Caenorhabditis elegans: one gene and its partner. The protein of the gene in region 1 interacts with the protein of each later gene in a pairwise test. Each region holds a gene or a part of one and is shown in the gene's direction. Other genes may lie near its edges.

Region 1 (3,931 bases):
CGTCTCATTCTCCTTATCGCTTCACCACTTGCGCCATGTTCTCTGGAAATTGTTGGAAAAGTTCCAGATTATTATTCCCAGTTTCTCCGCATTAGGTTTTCTGGAAATTATTTGCACAGTCCTTCGGATGTTATTCCACTTCAACTGTATTACATTCTCTCAATTCCCACTGAAGAACGGACAATTATGTTGTACAAATCGGAAATGTTGAGAGAAACAAAATATCCAGAATGGGCGGCATTTAGTATTCCTCTGTTTCTGCTTAATTATTTTAATGAATCATCGATTCAACTTCATGTATATAATTACACACCAAATCATGATGATCAACTCGTTGGACACTGTACAACTACTCTCACACAACTACAACAAGGTGTTGGGCATTTTAATTCTTACATGGTATGATTTTTTGTTTAAAATATATTTATTAATTAACAGTTTTTCAGCTGATGGAGCCTAATGGGAAACGAATTCATGAAAAGACTTGCATCGAATTGAAAGAATTGAGCTTGGAAAATGGTCCGACATTTTTTCAAATGATGGAAAATAAGTAAGAAAAACTGGTTTTGGAATGGAACACTTTCCGGTTCATAACAATAGTTTTCATGCTTAAATTTACAATTACACTTTGAAAATTTACACTTTGCTTTATATTCAATTTTATATTTATAAAATTGACATACTTAAGCTGAACAAATAAAATGTACAAAAAACCAATTAATGTATTTTCAAACTTTTTTTTTCGTTGTAATAAGTATTTAATTTTCAGTGTGAAGATTCAATTAACGTCTGCCATCGATTTGACTGCATCAAATGGAAATCCTGTAAACCAATCTTCTCTTCATTACATCCATCCTCATCAACCATCTCCATATCTCGAAGCACTTCTTCAAACAGTTCCCCCACTTCTTGCTTATCTTCCAAATCCTCAGAATCCTCATATTGGAGCTCTTGGGTTCGGTGCAAAAGTTCAAGTTCCTGGAGGTGCTCTTCAGTTATCACACTGTTTTTGTTTAGTAAGTATTTGTTGAAGCAATAATCCATATATTAAATGTTTTACAGAATGGAACTCCAACTGATCCACGTGTAGAAGGTTTGGGAGGACTGCTAAGTGCTTATAGAACTGCAGTTATGGGTCTTCAACCATTTGCACCAACAGATTTTTCAGAAGTTATTTATTTTATGTCAAAGTAAGTTATGCGAGATTTCAGTTGATATGTAAAATTTGTATTCAGATTCGCAAAAGCTGAATCTCGTCGTCATGTTGGTCTCTACTTCGTTCTAATCATCTATTCAGATGGTGGCCCTGCCAATGCACTTAACATGAAAAGATCAATTGATGCAATAGTTGATGCATCGCCTCATCCAATGAGTATTATCGGAGTTGGAATGGGACAGGTTAGATACTTTTTTTTAATCTGGGAAACATCCTAACAACTAATTTTTAGGATCGAGATCACAGTCCGATGCGAAATCTTGAGAAACTGACATTGAAACATTCCGACGGACGGCTTCTCGTGCGACAGGTAACTCTCTTTTTCAAACTGACCGATCAAAAATCAATATTTTCAGAACTATAGCTACGTAGATCCGTCGGACCTAGAATCTAGTGATGTGTTAGCAATGATCCCGATTCAAATGGCTCAGTGGAAACGGATGTTCCATTTTGATCCGAAATAAAACAAATGTATCCGAAATTTTCTTGCACTTCTCCTATTTGTATTTTTGTTTTCTTGCAATTTTCATCATTTTTCATGTATTTTGTGCCAAAATTCGTAACGCTCAAATTATATATATAGATGTACGTAACCCAGTAACCTATAATTCCCCCTATTCAATCACGGGTTTTAATCATGTTTGCTTTTTTCATAGATTGTTCAATTTTTCATAGAATTCATTTATTTCTCACATTTTATCCGCTGGTTTGTTGTACTCATTTTCCTCATCATTTCCAATAAAAAGAAACGGTCGATATCATGTTTGGTGAGCATTTCAGAAAGCTGCCAGTTTGATTTAATCATTTGTAAATGTTCAGGTAATGAAAAGAGCGAAGAATCCGGAAGTTCTGGGTTTGGTTTAGCTGAAGTTAAAAAGGTTTTCCAGTGGATTCTCGGATGCACTTATGCGAAGAAAACATTCAAAACTAGGTCAGTTTTCGTGATCTGCGATTAAAATATTACCTAGATGCCAAATTTTGCAAATATCATTCCACAAAAACGGTACTCGGTCTCGACACGACCACATTTATGTTTGAGGCAAAATAATGTGCACCTTTAAAGATTACTGTAATTTCCGATCTTCGTTGCTGCGTCTTTTATTAATTTTTCATATGCAATTAGACGAATAATTACAGTACTCTTATCTTTAAAGGCACACTCCTCTTGAACTTACTGTTGTTAGCAAAATTTTGTCGCGTCGAGACCGGCTACCGTACTTTTGTGGAAAATCCGAAAATTTCTGTAATATCTCTGTATTATTTTGAATTGCTTTTTGAGAACTGATCCGTATTTTGAATCTTTACAGAATTTCTGAAATGTTTCATTTTGCTGATGCTCCGCACATTGTCGTGTATGAGCGAAGTGAGGAGCGACCATGGTATTCGATGGTTGGAATGTGAGTTATTACATGATCAATCAATTATCCATTCTTGAAAATTTTCAGAATAATTGCAGTTCTCATTGTAGTTATGAGTCTCTATTACACACTTGAAGCTGGATACCGTTCAATTCGAAAACTCATGCTTTCAATGCTCCAAGATCCGCAACAGAGTACTGTATCCACTCCAAGATGTCTATCACCAACAAACATGGGATCCAAGAAATCTTCGCCTCAAACTCCAAAAACTCCGGATGTGATTCGTCAAAAAGTTCCGATGAATGAGCCAGTCAATTGTGTGTTCATTCGACCAGTTATTCCAAAAACTATTCCAGAGGGTACTGTAGCCGTGCCGAATTTGAATTCGGAAGAAGATATTTTATTGGATAGAGATCATTGTATTGGAGAGAAAGGAAAAAAGATAAATGGAAGTTTAGAAAAAGACAAAAAAGTGAAAGAAAGTGGAAAGGAAAAAATTAAAAAAGAAACTAAAAAGAGTCCACAGACAATGACACTTGATGAAGTTCAATTTGATGCTTCTTCCAATTTTAATATTCGACCGTAAGTTTGTCTTTTTCAACAGGCTTTATGTATTGTATATTTTAATATGTTTTAGTTTCAAATAATCCTTGAAATTCTCAACTTCAGAACCATGGCACCATCTCCAAATGTCCACACTGACAGTACTCAACCATCGAATCGTAAATCAACTGGATCTGATGATTCGAATATTGCAAATGCTCCAAACTCTTCACACTCGGAATGTGATCAAATTAATGAACGGGTTTTGAAACAGGTATTCACAATATTTTAAATTATAAATACATTTCTGAGTTTAAATTTAGATTGCTGGATGCAGAAATCTTGATGAAGATAGAACGGATGCTGGTGCATGTGATGCCATTTCTCCGCAAGACTCTGGAATGGATCTTCACGGTATTTCGAATGATTTTTTTGGGAAAATTCAAGATGTTCGTTATTCATTTTCACTTTTTGATGCAGAGACGTGATTTTTTAGATTATCCAAGCCCAACTTGGAGATTCTAATATTTTGGAAGCCACTTCCGATGAGAATCTTTCGGAAATGTCAATGGTTACAGAAAGTCTCATGTCTAGTTTAGCTGAAATTGAACCATCGTTTATTGAGACTGATGTTCAAGAAGCCTCGGAAACATCATCTCACTGTGAGCCAAACCTAGGAGCAAAGCAGACTGTTGGAAATGAGCAAGATGCTGATATTGTTATTGATGGTCAGTTCTTTTTTTCACCATAGAACGGTTTAGACAATTTGCTTTTGATTCATTGTCTTTTTTCCAGATTCACATTTATTTGCTGA
Region 2 (3,931 bases), on another chromosome or scaffold:
AAATATCAGAAAATTGAAAGTTTTCGATTTTTCAAAAATTAAACAATTTTTGGTTTTTAATTTTAGTGAGAAATCAAACAACCGACATCCTTGTATCAAAGGTGTCGCCATAAAATGTTCGATTTTCCGGTATTTCTCATAGAAAATAGAAAAAGTTGTTCGGTTGTTTTTTTTTGGAAATAAAATTTTATTCAAAAAAAATACGAGGAAAGTATGTATAGATTTATCTCTCAAATCAGAGAAATGACATTATTCATAAAAATGAAATGTTTTCCAAAAGATCGAAAAACAAAATGTTCGATTTTTTAAAATAAAATTACATCCTTTCTGCTGATACCATTATTAACCTAAATTAAATATATTCAACTTTTCAGAGTCTCCTTCAACTTAAACACTCCTCTGACTGCATCGAAAAAGATGTATTTCATTCGTACAAAAACTGGTGTTACCCATCAGCTACATCAACCTCCACAATAATCCCAGCTCATACATCTGTACCTCAATTCACTTTAGTTATTTGTCACTAGTTGGTATTTTCATTGTTTTGTTTTTGTTATGCTACTTGTTTCGATATATCCGCATGTTGTTTCAAATTGACTATGCTAACGTTTTCTTTTCTCATCGACCAGTTTACTTCCCTGTTCTGTTTAATAGTTCTCAATCATGTTATTTTTCTCAATTTTTCTGAAGAGTATCTTATCATTTCTTTTTTTCTGTATTCCCAACTCACCTTGACATTTCTGAATTGTTGACCCAGCAAGAAACTTTGCATACCCTCTGACTGGTATTTCATATTTTTGGGAGAAAAAAAACGTTTCGAAAATTTGTGAATTATTATGTGAAAAAAAAAAAAAAAAAATTATCCTATCGCGTTTTCCTTTCTGCATCTAAGTCTCCAATGAGTCAGCACAAACACATTGCGAAACATTTTCTGTCTCTTTGGTATAAATAGAGAGTTTCCTCTCTTTGAAATGATTTGAAGGTTTTACTGATATCAACGTTATGAAATTTAGTCATCTCGTCGCGTTTCTTTTCGAAAAGTTTTGAATATTCAACTTTACGTTTTTTAGTTTTGGAAATTTCAGTGTGTTATTTCAGTTTATATAATGTTTCTGAATTTATTACAACACAAAATTATGAAAATGCGTAATGCGCTATCTGACTATCTGACGCGCAAAATATCTCGTAGCGAAGGCTACAGTAACTCTTTAAATAACTACAGTAGCTGTGGTGTCGGTTTACGGGCTCGACTTTTGAAACGTATTTATTCTCGAATAGTGATAAATAGCGATACTCTATTTTTCTTCGTTTCTTCGTATTATTTTCTCATTTTTGCTTAATATGATAAATTATATCTACATGATAAGTCAAAATGATCCCGTAAATCGACACAGGCGCTACAGTAGTCCTTTAAAGAATTACTGTAGTTTTCACTACGAGATATATTGCGCGTCAAATATGACATTAATAATATTTACAAAATACAGATGTTTTTTAAAAATATCTTTGTCTTTAGACAACTACTGCTATAATCTCTCATGCGTATATCGTATATTCGTTGAAATTTTAAAATTCAGTTTAAAGGCGCACACTATTTTTCTGTGTAGGTCTCGCCACGATCTCAGCTATAGTGATCGCTACAAGCTTCAAATTTCATGCATTGGTTCATTTAATGTAGAAATGTACGACCAGTTAGAAAAATACCAAACCAATATGTTGAATAAATTAACTTCAAGCCAGATTTTCTACAGTAAACATTAAGATTGTATCACCGTCCGTAAATCTATATATTCTTAGAAATGCAGCGATATTAATGATTAACAACAATTCGTGATATATACTTTCGTTATTTTAGAATTCCTAATATTTGAAAATACACACCTCTTAAAAAGAGTCATTTTCAGAAATGACCACCAACCCATCTGTCCACGAGTTCGAGACTCGTGATCTTAAAATTGCCGAGGTGAAAGTATTCACTGATAGAGCTGAAATCCGTCGTCTTGTCAAAGTTTCATTGAAATCTGGTGTCAATGAAGTTGTTCTCAAGGTTTGTAGAATATGAACAAGTTTTTCAAGTAGTTTTGAATTTAGAACCTCTGCAAAACAATGGCTCAAGGATCAATTAGAGTTGAAGGAAGAGGAAATGCAATCATTCATGATGTAGTTATTAAGAATGTTTCTCGTTTGCCAACTGAAGCTGATCCTCCAAAGGTTGGCAAGATAATTAAAATTCGAAAATATATTCTTTTTTTTAAGATCACCAATCTCAAAGCTGCCATTCTAGAGGAGAAAAATCGCCTCCAAAAAATCACAGATCGCGGAACGGTTGTCCAAAAATGCGTTGACAATTTGGACAAAGTTTTCGAACAAGTTGGTGGGGGTCTCGTGAATCCACCAAAAGATGGTGTTGCTTCTTTAAATGAAGGAACTTTGGAAAGTCTTACAAATTTCTTCCAATTCTATGGGAGCAACTCCGAATTATACAGAGAAAGTGAGTTTAAACGATAAATTTGAGATTTTAAAAAACTTAATTTTTTTTTCTAGAACTACGATCAGTTGAAGCTGGACACCGTGAGCAACAGGAAAAAGTTTCGAAACTGGAAAACGAGTTACGAGCTCTAATGCACAATTTGAATGAAGAAGCGTTCTCTCAGTGAGTTTTTGAAAAGTTTAAGGTGGAATTGTGCCAGTCGGGGAATTTACCAAAATATACTAAAAATGGGGCAAAAACAACTTTATATGTCTTTTCAAATCTTTCTTAATCTTAACTCAAACTTTTGGCAACATACCAAATTTTGAATCATTTAAAAAATTTGAAAAACTATCAAAAAACCCATAAAAATTTGAGGCGCACAATGAGCTATGCTTTGCTTTCTATGCACTATTTATTTTCAAATACAAATGGGATTACAGATAGATTTGAAGATATGCAAAAAAGCATCCAACCCTAATAAAAATTCGAAATATTATAAAGAAAAGTTCCATATGATTTTCCATCTATTTCTAGAAACAATTTATTTTTTGAGTCTTATTGTTTGACATTGTTAAGCTGTAGTATTTAAGATCACTGTTTGCCTATCTTCCCAACAAATTGATAACTTAATTTTAGCACTGCCACAATTACTTTGGAATGCACAGAAGACCTGGAAGCTGAGCTGAATGTAGTCTATCAAGTGTTAGATGCTTCGTGGCATCCATCATACGATATCCGAGTTGACACAGAGAAACCATCCATGAGCATTACATACTTTGGAAAAATCCGTCAATTCACAAAGGAAGATTGGACTTCTGCACCACTTGTTTTGTCAACTGCTCAGCCATGTCTTGCTGGCAGAATTCCAGATCTTGGAACTCTCGAAGCAACCTTCCGTCGTCCTGAAGTTCAACATTATCAAACAAGATCGATGAATGCATCAGCCTCATTATTTGGGGCGCGGGGACCGCAGAACCGTCGAGCCGAAACACTCGGATTTTCAGATGAAGTGACTTTGGCTCCACCAATGGCTGTCGCTGTTGCTTCAGAAATCACCCAAAACACGTTGAGCACAGAATTTAAAATTCTCAGAGAAGCAACAATTCCACACGGTACTGATGAACACAAAGTTACTATTGGAGTTGTGACTCTTACACCAAAACTTGTTCATGAATCCGTTCCAAGTAAGAATGCTGCAGCTTTTCTCACGGCTTCTGCTGTTAATACTTCTCAACTTGCACTCCTGGCTGGATTTTCATCTGTCTATCTGAATAATGCATTTGTCGCAACAGTAAGATTTTTTTGTTGAGAAAATTGATTTAAAACAAATTAAGTTGCTGAAATAACCAAATTTTAATAGTAAGAATTCTTCTATCGATTCAATCTTGTTTCACTCTGAACATACAAGAATGATCTGAATCTTTCAACAAAAAAAAAGAAAATTTCAAAACTTGGAAA

The links.
Region 2: the proteins of gldi-10 (region 1) and ZK1055.7 interact in a two-hybrid assay, tested with the Caenorhabditis elegans proteins (one large-scale study listed by BioGRID).

What each region holds. Positions count from the first base shown.
Region 1 is NC_003282.8:9,097,395-9,101,325, forward strand, and holds the start of gldi-10 (AMP-activated protein kinase glycogen-binding domain-containing protein), read left to right. Parts: upstream 1-1,847; 5' UTR 1,848-1,976; coding exon 1,977-1,983; intron 1,984-2,035; coding exon 2,036-2,147; intron 2,148-2,523; coding exon 2,524-2,613; intron 2,614-2,661; coding exon 2,662-3,156; intron 3,157-3,243; coding exon 3,244-3,391; intron 3,392-3,440; coding exon 3,441-3,566; intron 3,567-3,613; coding exon 3,614-3,845; intron 3,846-3,912; coding exon 3,913-3,931. Other genes in the region: cpna-3 (VWFA domain-containing protein), read left to right, coding at 1-399, 447-550, 770-1,016, 1,063-1,190, 1,236-1,398, 1,449-1,526, 1,573-1,680.
Region 2 is NC_003283.11:6,603,349-6,607,279, reverse strand, and holds the start of ZK1055.7 (Protein F37C4.5), read left to right. Parts: upstream 1-1,904; 5' UTR 1,905-1,906; coding exon 1,907-2,047; intron 2,048-2,091; coding exon 2,092-2,211; intron 2,212-2,256; coding exon 2,257-2,491; intron 2,492-2,544; coding exon 2,545-2,653; intron 2,654-3,109; coding exon 3,110-3,764; intron 3,765-3,931. Other genes in the region: gon-14 (HAT C-terminal dimerization domain-containing protein), read left to right, coding at 375-477.